2 linked regions of the Drosophila melanogaster genome follow. The gene in region 2 interacts genetically with the main gene of each other region. Each region holds a gene or a part of one and is shown on either strand. Other genes may lie near its edges.

What was found. Genes that interact genetically often act in the same process or in processes that back each other up.
Region 1: of Gbeta5 (region 2) and TkR99D, changing one suppresses a phenotype caused by changing the other (phenotypic suppression), as found in Drosophila melanogaster (one study listed by BioGRID).

What each region holds. Positions count from the first base shown.
Region 1 is NT_033777.3:29,964,799-29,972,522, forward strand, and holds the start of TkR99D (Tachykinin-like receptor at 99D), read right to left. Parts: upstream 4,650-7,724; 5' UTR 4,185-4,649; intron 1-4,184. UniProt on the Drosophila melanogaster protein: Receptor for tachykinin-like peptides.
Region 2 is NC_004354.4:8,148,698-8,155,374, forward strand, and holds Gbeta5 (G protein beta subunit 5), read right to left. Parts: upstream 3,579-6,677; 5' UTR 3,447-3,578; coding exon 2,370-3,446; 3' UTR 2,034-2,369; downstream 1-2,033. Other genes in the region: CG10959 (uncharacterized protein), read left to right, coding at 201-779, 848-1,600; CG18262 (uncharacterized protein), read left to right, coding at 4,347-5,756.

The DNA of each region.
Region 1 (7,724 bases), on a different chromosome or scaffold from region 2:
GTCCCTTAGGAGTGCACTGGCAGAAAAGTTGGGTAGCTCTTCAAAGCTAATATACATATATATGTATTTTCCATTTTAAAACCAATTCAGGCTAGTAATATTCTATTTATACAAATGGAGGGAATTGTGCCTGCTTCTTTCTGGTTATAAATCATTCGATTTAAATAAGATTAATACATATTTCTCTGAATAGACGTGTGTGTGTGCCACTACACATGTGTGTCAATAGGAGTGGGACCGCTGTCCTAGTGCCCTGCCCCGCCCCCTTTCGTCCTTTTTCCCCCCAACCCCACTCCTCGTGGCATGTCGGTCCACATTCGCAGTACTTTCACTTCCTGCTGCCGGCCTGTACTGTTCTAAAACAATTTATTAAAAAACAAAAATACGAGCAGAGCGAGTGAAGTAAAGGGCCCAGGCCGAGGCGAAACGTAATAAGCACATTTCTGGGGGTTCCGAAAGTGAACTTGTATTGTAATTACCAACGCCTTTTGCTGGCTTAAACGAGCGTTTTTAATTTCCCCACAAGCACACACACTGGCGAAACAATTAGGCACAAAACGAGCATTAAATATATGGGGCTGCAAATTGGCCACATGCGCTGGAGGCGCTGGAAGCGGGCTGCTCCTCCTCCTTCTTCGTAGCTCCCGTATCTCGGCAGGCGGGTAAAATTCATCAAAATGATTGTTTAATGAGCTGCTCGCGATGCCGGGAGCAAGAATTCATTTGCGAGCTGGATTTATCTTTCGCACCTACCGAAGAGCAGACAGAAAACAATAACAAGCGCAGAAATTAAACAATCCCCTTAATATATAAATAAAGCCCGGTGATAAAAGCGCCAAAATACTATATAAACAGAAGATATACATATATCCACATGCGTGCCTCGTGAACTTGGCAACGCAATCGAATGTGTTGGGGCAGGACAAGTTGCCTCCGCGAATTTAATTGTCGAGCATTTCGTGTTTGTTTGCCTCTAAAGTCGTATGGTCAATAACAGATAACGAGCATTGGAAGTATTTACCAATGAATCAGCTCGAATACTTTTGCTGAAATTAAAGCTGCTTAGCATTGCGGGAAAGCGAAGATCCTAAAGTCCTAAGTATTATGTGCCATTTAAGCCATTCTCCTGGCCCATAAAGAAGCCACAAAAGCCATGGCAGTGATTGCAAGAAATACTTGCGGCCCTCGTGCGACCCACAATACGCATACGCCCCGTTGTACGGGCAATCGCCTTTGTGCCACCATTACCAATTACCACCACCAGTGGACATAAACCAGGCCAAACAGGTGAGTCGGTAAGCTGGTGAGCTGGTGAGCTGGCGAACTGGTGAGTTGGTGAGTCGATGAGTGGGGTCTGTGGGCATTTCAATGTCTTATCTTATCAGCTATCGGATTCTATCAGTGTGCCCTGCTTAGCAATCCGAGCAAAAATAAATACGTAAGAAGAGAAAATAGACGGGTGCTGCAGTTCCGCCCAAATGTCCAAGACTCTGGAGCTATGGATCTTTGGAGCTCTGGACTCGGACTACAATAAATTCAGTGCCCCAGCACCCACTTAGTCAATTTATTGCAATTATGTGTAAATTGAGGAACAAAGCGGAGACAGAAGTGAAGAAAGGCTACCTCCGATTCCCCATTCCCCCCATTCGATTCCCAGCGCTGTGGCTCTCACTCCCATTTCAATCATCTGCCAGTCGGTGTATATTCTTTGGCAGATCTGCTCGGCGTGGAAAGATGGGGAGCAGTGGCGAGGCCGAGGGGCAACTGAGTACATTTCAGTTTTGAATTGTATTGCTTTTGCCCATTGAATGACTTCTCAGCTGGAGCTTTTAACTTTCACTTATTCAAAATTGATAGATTTTTTTCGTCTCCGGAAATATTAACCAATTCGCTCGACTTCATTTGGGAAAAAATTGAATTTTTATTCGGATCTACGATCAAATGAAATATTTGACAAAGGCCAAATGCCAAATTAAAGTTAAGCTTCACAAAGTCATAAATAACATGCTGCCACAAGTGTTATTTGCATATTGTTATGTGCAACATTTTATATTAGACACACAAAGTTGTTCAATGCCAATAAATTGGACAATTGTCTTGTGGACACATGTGCTGGGTGTGCGAACAATGCCATCGAATTAACCCATTTATTTAAAGGCTATCCCTGTGGAATACACGTCCTGTCCACCGACAAGGACACTGCATAGCTCGATGGGGCTGCATAAAAGAGGGACGAACTCAACTGAGCACCGCTAAAATATGCACATGATTCACGGACTTGTTTAGGACCGGCACTGCCTTCATTTAAATTCATTCGGGGCGGAGATGGTGAACTGGTGTCCAGCTGAAAGCTGAATGCTGAATGCTGAAAGCTGGGGAAGAAAGCCGAAGTTACACACGTCTCCGGCGCCAAAGGACCTGCTATGCTGCCCTCCACCTCCAGCAGCACATCCTCCTTCGCTCCGATGTCCAAAGTCCAGTGTCCACTGGCCAATGTCCAGTGTGGCCGGGCAAAGACGTCAGCAGTGGGGCGGATGCCGCATCGGTTTCAATTTAATTAAATGTTTTGATGCATGACAGCACTGTGGAGCAGCACTGGACATACGGAACATACGGCACCCCACTCACTTATTACTGATTCGCATTCGTATTCGCTTAAAGATACCCATCCGTTCACGCCTGCCTGAATCTTTAAAGGCCGCCTTTTGGGGCCAACTAATGGCCTCGGATCCCCTCCTGCTCCTCCGCAAGCAATTCGCGCTGAAAGGATTTCGGTTTGCTCAGCTGACCGTCGGCAAAGCTTTTGTGCGGATGCGTTCATTTGGCCGCCAAACAGCCATTTATCCGGATCCAAAGACCCCCGACCACATCCGACAGCCCACATCCCACATCGACATGCCTAAAACCACAGGACTTTGCCTCCTCACTAATCATAGTTGACATTAAATATTTAGAAGCGGAGAAAGTTGTGCCAGCCACTGATTGAGTTAGATGATGTCTGGAATCTCGGAGGAGCAATTAAGTGTGCTGTTTGGCCAGCGGATTCACTTGAAAGCGCTTCACTTCGAATTCGAAGGAAAGCTGGAAATGGACACTTCGAGTGAATTAATTTTCTTCAATTAAAGTGGCAATTATGTCGGGAGTTCACAAGCGAAATACCTTCGAGGTAATGAATGCCTTGATTTGATTGATGATTTATACTTAAATTTCCGATTGATTGCAGGGTGGAGTTCATTTGGCCACAAGTACTTGATTAAATTCAATTAATTAACTGCTCAAACACTTAATCAAGTTTTAACATCTAACGAAGAGATACACTTTCGTTTGCCTTTGGTTTACATTTTTCTTAAATATCAACTGTGTATGAACTCTATAAAATCCAGCCAGGAAGTTTGCATGCATTTAAGGCTTCTATTTACGTTCCCCTTAAAATTAAATGGCTTAAAAAAAAAAACAACCAGCGCTGAAACGCCTTCGACCCCAAAATAAATACATTTGAAACACTTTGCTTATTTGCATTATAAACATCAGAGCTGGGCACATGTGAAAATACCCAAGGGATAAGCCAATGCGCACGGTTTTATTTTATTTTACTTTATTTTATGGCACAGGATGTACGGAATTGGTGCGTTATTTAAAAAGATTATTTCCATTCCGCCGTGGGCCTAAAAAACGCAAATCGCAATCGAATTAATTGTCATTCCAGGAGATTTGCTCTTCCGACCAGATTTCCGAAATCTGAGATCATCGGAGAACCTTTTCATCGGGCAAAGTCAATTGGGTGTGATGGTTTTTGGCCATCGGTTAACTATTTCTCAGCTCACTGGAGTCGTGGAACTCGTTGCTCAAATTGAGTGGAAAATCGGGATGAATGGGAATGGCCTACAGTTTGATCTTTCGAATTGGGTTAGTCACTTGATTAGGCTCTCGATGTAATTACATTTCGAGCTAAAGTTACCAGGGCAGCCGAAAGTTGTCCACAAATAGCAGTTTTCTAATTACTTTGGCGACTCGAATTTCCATAAACTTGTAAACCAATTTCGGTTTGGTTTGTGCAATAAACTTTGCAATTCAAGCCACCACCTCCCGAAAACAATGTTTTTGTAATATGGAAAAACAATAATGAGTGGAAAGAGAATGAAAAAAAAAAAACAAAATACTTTGGGCAGTGGGAGACCGCTTACCAGGAACTATGCTGAAATCCCCACTTCTTCGCTCGGCCAACGCGGCGTATGAGCAATGTCAGCCAATTGCAGGCAGCGAATAACAAAGAAATCGTATTTAAAAATAAATTCCGCTGCTCGCCTTCTGCTGCTCTGTGGTTTCGGTGTTTATGTTTATTAGTTTTAATCAAAACACCAATTTGTATATTCACTTTAACGACTAGTTTATCGTTTTTGCGTGTTTGCTCGCTACGAAATTGAATTTGATTTTCAATCCACTGGGCCGAATTCAATTACGTTTACGGATCGACTGCCGGCGGCATTTCAGCCAGCTCTAAGCTGATTTTCCAGCATTTTTCCAACACTTCTCCGCCAGCTTCAGCTATCACCTATCATCAGCGAATTTCAGGAACCGAGAACCCGGAGAACCGACAAGTCCAAAAAATCCGGACCCGTCGCCTTTTCAGTTCGAACCGTACGCGCGCGAGTCTGCCGTTGAACTGAACGGAAAGCGGAAAACTGAATGCCAGCCGGAATTTTCTGAGGCTGTGCGCGCTGATATGTCGGTGTTATAATAAGGGCCACAAAAAAGTGGGCGGTTTTTTTTTCTGCGGCGGGGGGGGTTCCCGTGGACCTCGGGGACTCCGGCCGCTTGTTGCATATGTTGGGATGTTGCACTGGGGACTAGGGCTCACGTAACCCCTTTGCGTTGAGGGCCTTTTATTTTATCGGAGCAATGAGCAACGTTTCCATTTGAAAAGCGTTGAAATCTGCGACGGAATCGAACGGAAACCCGCCCAAATTCACCAGTGTTGCCGAGTGTTTTCTTTCTACGCCTGCGCCCTATCTTTTCCTCTCGCTCTGCCTTCGTTCGCTCTCTGTTGTCATACGGCTATTCGTAAACAATCCGGACTCCGGCGATTCTGCCACGTGCACGCCACGCACAAGCGGAAAATCAAATGACCAAGATGTCTTACAAAATATACACACATATGCACAATGAATATATCGCTTCCAAAACAGCACTTTCAAAGCGTTTAATACCACATTCAAAGGAAGATGTTTATCAATACACTCGAATAATTTGTTTTAGGTTTAGAATGCATGTTTACAAATTCAATAGGGGTATATCATTGAAATAGATTACACATCTTGATTATCAGTGCAAAGTGATTTGCTATTTTTGCTAAGGTAGCCAAGTCCTAAGGCTAAAATTCCCATTTCCCATTAAAATTCCACTTTCCCAAGTGGAAAGGCTACGAAAAATTTTGGATTAATTTATCAAAATATAGAATGTAATACCTCGTTGAGCTCGTAATTGCATGCCTAATCGATTGGCATTCAAGTTTTGTTGATTTTGAAAAATAAATTTTTGGCCAATTTTAGCAAATTTTAATGATGGTACCCCTTATCAAATTTGCGAAAATTGGTCCAAAAATTAATTTTTCGAAATCAATTAAAAAGTGATTTGGATCGATTGCTTAGGTCACAGGCTCCAAAAAACATGTATAAAACTGACTGTAATTATGATTTTAGCCAAATTATGGGTATAAAACCGCAAATTCTCCTATTTTCCATACAGAATATGTCTCTATTTACATTTTGATAAAACAATTACAATTTTACAATTACCATACATACAAAGAAATTGTTTTCAGTGCAGAGCGTATGTTTGTTAGTTTTGGCCAAATGACTTGGCTCTTTCACACCAGACAGCCGCAGGTGTTGGTGGCTGATCTGGCCAAAAATGCCTAAAGTAAGCAATGAATCCGAAATGCCTCCCCCTCTTCGCCAGATTCGGACGTCTTAATTTGCTGGCGGAGATGGAATCCCGCAACTTCATCCGCTGCACATGCATCAATGTCCCATCAATCACTCCATTTAGTTGTAACAACTGAGCAACGAATGGGTTGCATGTAAAATGAGATGACCTACACCATGGTTTGGCACACATATTCGACTGATCCAAGATGAAACAAGTCAACTTAACTAGCTTAGGTAACTATTTTCCAACGCTTTGAAGGCGATGTCTCATTTAGATTATTTTCTCGTCTTACATTTTGTGGAAGGAGGATACACAGTGAAAGCAGGAGGTCATTAAATTTCTTTATCTCTCGCTGACGTGCAGTCCATTGAACACATCCATAATGATTATGATGGACCAAGTTGAACTTGGTGGCTCGCACCGAGCTGCGAGTCCGAGTGTACGCCTGCAATGGCCAATATCCCGAGCAGCTGGGCATCATTAACTATCTGCAAGGATAACGCTCGTTACCAGTGCCATGCCCTGCTGATGACCCCATTTAATCAACGCTAAGCCCGTCTCGTCCTGCACCTCATCATCATCATCCTTCCCTGCCGCCCCCGCCCCCTCGTTGACCGCCAGAATGATAATTTGTTTGTCAACATTATGCTGGCAAAATGTATATTTGGCTAAATACCAGCCAGCCCCGACAGCATGTGACGAGTGGTTTGATTGATGACCACCGCACGGCCGCTGGAAATTTAATTTTCCTTTTTCCCCAGGCTATCTGGTCGCGTATCCCGCTGTTTTTAAGTGCGTGTCATTCGGCGGTCCTGGGCGGCTGTCGCTGTAAATGTGATGGATAAATTGGAAAAACCAACAGACACCACAGGGTCAGCTGGAATGAGCATCTATTTAGTTGATACGAATCAAAAGAATCATTCAATCTGTTTTCCAAATATCATTACTCATTTGTAAAGCATGCAATATGCCCAGCCATTTTTAATCTGTATAAACATTTTTAGCGAGTTTATGAAATTTTAAATGATGCTCCATAAATTGTGCATTCTAATAAACTCGCTCACTGCGCCGCATCTGCGGTTTTAGCCAGTTTCTGCATGAGTGTTTCGCGGCAATTAGCGATGGCCGTGCTGACCACCGAAATGGCCAGCACAGACAGAAGCCTTTCAAATTGGATTTGGCGCCAGCTATGTGAAACATTCGGTTGTTTTAATTTCCACTTAGGCAGCCACGTTTTTCCAATTACCCTTTGGTCCGCGGCGAAAAAGCCACAAGTCCTCGGAAAATGCAAAAGAATTCGCCAAATGTTTTGCATACTTTCGGAGCCGGAAAAGCGAAGTGGAGCGGTGAGGAGGAGTGAGACCACCTCCAGCATCCAAGGTCGGGCCATAAAATTTCATTGGGCTCAGGTGTCACTTGGCAGAGTCGGAGGCACCGCCTCCCATTCAGAATTTATGGCCAACAAAATGCAAACATAAGTTTCATAAAGCCAAAACTGTATTAAAATATGCGAGGCGGCGGAACCCGCTTTTTTCTGCCACTGCTTCATTAGGCCAAGTTAAATCTCCATAAAGCGCAGCCAAGGCAAGGCTCTCTTTTTGTTTTCCTTCGGCTACATTAGACAGCTGCTCGTAAAGGAAAAAGCGCCACGAAGGAGCAGCAAATCAACTACGACACGACCAGGAGCTGGAGCAGATTGGGCCAAACTTTTTCGACTGCCATGTGTGCGCGGGATGCGATGAAATATGAAGGTATCGCAATCTAGGTAGTCCATTTCTCATCATCTCCCCGCGCGC
Region 2 (6,677 bases):
TTGAACTTAAAATTTATTTTGTAGTTTATTCGGTCAAACGGTTAGTTTGGTTTGAAACATAGCTGAATGGCTGTGAAATCAGTGCTGGTTTGAGTCTGCACTAAATGTCTATCGAAGTCGATCGAAATTTTGTTTACATATTTTATTTTAATTTTGGTAAATAATATTGCAACAATTTTAATGTAAATAAGAATCAGAAAATGTTGAGACACTGCCTCGCCAACGTCGACTACGTCCGCCTGCACGCCCAGCAGCAGTTGCGTCCCAAATGCGGCGAGATCTTCTACGAACCGGAGGCGAATAGATTCCAACTGGTCTGCCTGCTCTGCGACATGAAGCACTTTGGATTCGAGGACTTCGCCCGCCATATCCGTAATGTGCACTTCGACAAGCAGGGCCGACCGCTCACCAAGACGGTCACGGGACTGGGCAGACTAGCACGAGAGGAACAGGAGTTCCAAGGGGTCAGCGCAGAACCATTGGCTGTGGACAGCTTCAAGAAAGAGTACCTGCCCAACGAGGATGTTCTGTCGGAGGAGGAGGACGCGGAACAGGAGCTGGGACTGGAACAGGACGAGGGCAATCCACTACGCATCATGGTGCTCGGGGGTAAACAGTCCGTGGACGAGGAGACCATCGATACGATGTGGCAGCCGGATCATGACAGTTCCTCCGCATCCGTCAACGAGGGGTGCGCTCTGGAGGCTCTGTTGGGCGTGGAAAATCCGCAAGACTATCAACCGGATGAGGACGGGGAGGAGCACCAGTCTGTTTTTAAGGTAGAAAAACTGTAGTACGTGCACTTGAAGAAGGAAATCCAATATCTGAATATGTTTTTTCCCTGCAGAAGCAGCGCCAACCAAAGGACTACAACTGCCCACACTGCGACAGGAGGTACACGACGCAGAAATACCTAAACACCCACCTAAAGATGAGCCATCCGTTTCCGCAGGCCTTCAAGTGCGTCGACTGCAAAGCCACCTTCGATGTGGACCGAGCATTGGCCCAGCATCGTCGCAAGGAGCACACGGAGTTCGCCTGCCAGCTATGCGACAAGGTGTTCAAAAGCTCGCGATCCCTTCTTCGCCATGTGCAGGGTCACTCCGGCGCCAGGACATTCAAGTGTGAGCACGAGAACTGCGGCAAGTCGTTTGTCAACCAGCACAACCTCACCTCGCATCGGCGGGTCCACAGCGAGGAGCGGAACTACGTGTGCGAGCTGTGCGGCTATAGATCCCGCTACCGGGAGGCGTTGATCGTCCACCGGCGCACGCATACGGGCGAGAAACCCTTCCAGTGCCAGACCTGTGCCCGCCGCTTTGCCTCCAAGTCGCTGCTCAACGAGCACCAGGCCATGCATTCCACCGAGAAGCCCTACAAGTGCGACAAATGTGATTCGGCCTTCTCCCGCCCGAAGGCGCTCTATCACCACAAGCATCTGCATTTGGGCATCAAGAAGTTCAAGTGCAAGATCTGCGGTAATGCCTATGCCCAGGCGGCAGGTCTATCCGCTCATATGCGAGCGCACAAGCTCCAGGCGTCCGTAAATGCGACGGAGGGTGCCGAGGCGGAACCCATCGAGATGCTTTTCACCTACTGACCGAACTGAGTGGAAACCTCCTGTCGCCTTAAGCTCTATTTCCATATAACTCAAGATATTCAAGATACACCACAAACAATGTTCACTGTTCTAGATTTTATAGATAGCTTATCAATGTTTATGGACACCCGACTCTTTCGTTCCAACTTTTCACATATATATATATATCTGTAAATAGTATTAGACATTTTCCAATCTAAGGCCGCAAATGTTCTTTTTTAATTTAAGTGATGAAGCCTTCCATTTCTGTGTCTCAAAAATTAGTACCTACATATCAGTAGAAGTCGTGTGTAAGCTGTTATATCTGTTAGTTTAGCTAGTTTTAAGCCAAGACCTTGCTTCCGACTAGGACAAACCACGTATGTACAATAAATGTTCTGATACACGTTACTCCAACATGGACTTTCAAATGGGCGCACAAAGAAGCCAGTTTGTCTATAGCTCAACATTTATTTCGAACAGGAACTTATAACTAGTCGCATATTGGTTACACTTGGATGCATATACATGTATATATTTAGATTCAATTTGGTACAGCAGCTGGTAGTAAGCATAACACTGCGGTAACCAAGACATCCATGCTGGCAATCCCGACATGAGACATATGTACACACTTGGGGGATCACCGAATCCGTAACTTAACTATCCTAGAGATGCGATGCACAACACAAAAAAAAAAAAAAAAAACAAATCAGAAGAGAGGGAAAACAAAGCGAGACGGCATCTGTCCTGGACAAATGCATCCCCCAACAATAAGGTGCCACATGGCTTAGGCCCACACCCGTATGGTGTAGTCCCAACTGCCGGTGGATAGAGCGGTGCCATCGGGCGAGACCTGGACGCAGGACACCTTGTTCTCGTGCCCGTACAGCAGGCAGACCCTTTCCGATTTCAGCGTGTCCCACAAGTTGACGGTGTAATCGTTGTAGCCAGCAAACAGTAATCTTCCACTGACCGAAAAGTCCACCGAATTGACGCCAAAGATGATGCTCTCCTTGGCGAACACGGCCACCTCGCGATCCGCTCGCATATCGTACAGCCGGCAGCTGCTGTCATCCGATCCAGTGGCTATGGCATCTCCGCAAGGATGGAACTTAACGCTATTCACATCCGATTGATGACCCTCGAAGGACTGAACGACATGACCAGAGCGCATGTCCCAGATGAAGGCCATGCGATCGCAACTGCCCGAGACAAAGGTGTTGCCCGTTTCGTTGGGAGCCAAATCGATGGCCATTACATCGCCGGAATGTCCGTGGAAGCTTTGCAGTAGCTGGCCCGATTCCACGTCCCACAAAGCGCATGTGGAATCGCCACTGCCCGTGAGGATTTGCTGATCGGAATTCGGATAGATGCAGCACGACATGTAGCTGGTGTGGGTGCCCACTGTGCGCTTCTTGGCGGCCATCTCCTCATCGGAGGTTATCGGATACACGGTGACCTTATTGTCTAGTCCGCCGCAGGCCACAAAATTGCCCGACGGCGCGTAGGCACAGGCCATAATCCAGGTGGTGGGCATGGTGACGGCGTGCTCCTTGTTCGTGGTGAACGCATCCCAGATGATCAGACGTCCGTCCTGCGACGAGGAGATGATGTGACGCTTGTCGGGACTCCAGTCGGTGCACAGGACCTTCGCCTGGTGGCCCTTGAGCACCTTACGCGGCTTGATGTTCACATAGGCGATCTGCTCCAGCCGCTCTGCGATGTTCGACAGATTGACGTCGTTCAGCTTCTGGCGCTCCTCCTCCAGTTTGGTCTTCAAATTCTCCGCCTCTCGCACCAAACTGGCCATCTTTTCAGTGGCATTCGCGTTCGCATTGCTCGCTGGCACCGCCGCCTCCGACATGGTTGCTCTGAGATGGCGCTTCTATGGATATCTCTCGGGGATTGTGTGTCCTATCCCGTTCGAACTTCTCCAATTGGACAGCGAAAAATCAATCCGAAAAAAAGTGTATACTCGAATACGAAAATCCGAATACACAGCGATAGGCGCGGTCGGTTATCGATAAGTTTTACCGTTGGTAAATGGCAGAATGTACCGTTACATATCCTTTATTTTCGGAGAACTTGATAAAAGATTGTGACGATGTTATTATTATTAATTTTCATCAATATGACAAGGTATTGATGAAAATTGGCGTCAAAATTTGTTAAATTTTTGTTCTGTTTTTGTTAAAAGCCGGTTTTCCGAATTTCCCTCATAAAATAATCAGTTTTTTGCCCAGAACTTTGAAAATAATTGACCAAATATGGTATGTCATATCTCGTTGAACTCGTAATGAAATTTCCAATCGAATTGCATTCAAATTTGCGAATTCAAAATTTTTCCATTTTTTTGCAAATTTTAATTTAATGTTACCCCTTAAAAAACATGAAAAATATGACACAAAAATAAATTTTTCTATGCCCGCCCAAAAGTGATAGGGTTCGTTAGTAGTGATAATTGGCTGTTCAAAACAGTTATTCTTTAAGCTGCATGATGATTTTCCGCCAAGTTATGACTAGAAACTACTTGTGATAACGAACTTATCGGAGTAAATACCATTTCAAATGTGGCGCCACAACCAAGGTAAGCTCAACACTGCGGTTCGTTAGCCAACACTACCATCAGCTGGGGAAAACCACCCTTCCCCACCCCCTTGAAACAAACACTTACAAAAAAGCGACGCCAACGGCTGGAATCCTCTGCTAATCCGGAGCCAGTTGACCGCCACTTCCACACAGGCAGACCAGGGAGCAAGCCGCGATGATCAAGGTGCAGCCACCGCCGGATGTGGCCGGTGGCTACCACAATCTGCGTTGCGGCGAGGTCTTATTCAGTGCACCCGCCTCCTACGAAGTGAGCTGCTTGCTGTGCGACCAGCGTTTGCCGTTGGACGGCTACCCGGAACACTTCCGGCTGAAACACTTCACGAACAGCTCCAGCTCGCTGTGTTCCAACGAACTGGAAAGCGATCCCATTGCCCAGGACGTCGTCGAAGTACAGGGAAATGAGGAGCTACATGAGGAACTGGCAAAGGAAGCTAGCCCGGACTTAGAGGAGGAGGAGGAGGAGAAGGAGGAAGGTTCCAAACGCCAGCATTACCAGCGTGCAGCGGCCATGAAGAACACCCTGGTGGAGACTCGCGAGGATTTGCTGGACATCGAACTCGACTGGACGGGCGGCGAGCAGTCGGAGCATAATGAAACTCACGAGGAGGAGGAGGGGGAATCGGATGATGATGACACGAAGGACAGCAACGACACGAAGGACATGCTCTTCCAATGCGATCAGTGCGACCGGGCGTACAACACCAAACGCAGCCTGCAGAGCCATCGCCGCCTAAAGCACAGCGAAGCCAACGGCGGAAGTCTGGACAAATCCGCCAGTGAACGCAATAGCAAGAAGCGGAAAGGTCCGCCGAAGGTGTACAAATGCAACGAGGAAGCCTGCAACCAGACATTTCGCACCGAACGCGATCTGCGCGGCCATCGCTGGAAGCACACGGGAATCTTCTGCGACATTTGCGGCAAACCCTTCACCCAGTCGGGCAACATGATGCGCCACCGCCAGCGACACAGTGGCATCAAGCCGCACAAGTGTCCGGAATGCGACGCGACCTTTTACACGCAAAAGGAGCTCTCCTCGCACAGTATCTGCCATACTGGTCGCATGCCCTGCATCTGCGAGGTGTGCGGACGACCTTGCCGAGATCGAGGCGTTCTCACGGCGCATATGCGTCGCCATACGGGCGAAAGGCCGGCCAAATGCGAGGTGTGCGGCAAGGCATTCTATAGCTTTCATGACCTCAATGTCCATGCTGTATCGCATACCAATTTGCGGCCCTTCGTCTGCGACGTTTGCGGCTCCACGTTTCAACGGAAGAAGGCGCTGCGGGTGCACAAGCTGCTCCACTCTGAGCAGCGCAAGTACGCGTGCAAATTGTGCGGCAAGACGTTCGCCCAGTCCGGCGGTCTAAATGCCCACATGCGCAGCCATGATCCGGCGAGAGTTAAGGGAGCTGTGAAGCCGCTGCCGCAATCGGTCACCATCGAGGTGATCGAGGGCAAGAGTCCGCCCACCACCACCATCACCATGGCCATCGACCTCAATGTGGAGGAGCAGCTGGTAAAGCAAACCGAGACTGCACCCACCACTTGGCGCCTGGCCAACTGAGTAGCTAGCTAGGATTAATATAAGGTTAGATGTAGTTCATCTATAAGTTCCAAATTGCGCCATAATAAATGAGAGAAATCAGAAGATTGGAAATGAATTAATAATCGTAAGAAACCAGAAGGCAGATGCATAAAACGATTGATTTGCGGTACAAAAGTGTCCTTTATTGGGGTTTCCTAAACGGAGAGGGTTCCAAGCTGTCAGCGATCCAAGTCCAGATGAGTCTGGGCTCTAATCCTTGCCAGCGTGTGCATTCTACCCGGGATTCTTAGCTCTAAACATGTAGTTCGTATCGCTATGGACTAAGTTAAGTATTGGGATAAAATAATACATACAGCCTTTGTTGTTTTTTTTTTTTTTTTTCCAAACGAAATTGATGATCATAAACGGAGGCTTTTGCGTTAAAGGTTAAAAAAATATATTCCCGCCCCTTCGTTGTTTTCAAAAAAGGTACATATTTTATATTCTATGCGCTGGTCGGTTCACTCATTACTAGTTTTTCGAAGCGATAAACTGAAGAATTAAAACCTAGCATAATTCTAGATGCAATATTAAGTAAACTAGTTTAAAATAGGGCTGACATTTCTGCCAAATGGACGTACTCAGTTACAAATATAGTTAAAATCAATCAAATTGACGAGAATGTTTTGAAAACTAAAGATTAATTAAGCACTGAAAATGCATTGATAAGGTATCACGGGTAAACCCAAGACCAACTAAGTTTTCCAATTATAGACCTATGTATTTACGTGATCTGCATTGACTTTTGTTCACTAGAACCAATAGTAAGTAATAGTATAGCACTAGAAATACAAATAGAGAATAAGAGATAGTTCTAGGATACTAGGCTAATATCGATTAGTATTTGAATATCATCAAGATTGCTTAATGTGATGCTTGCTAGACGGTGACTATTAGCGG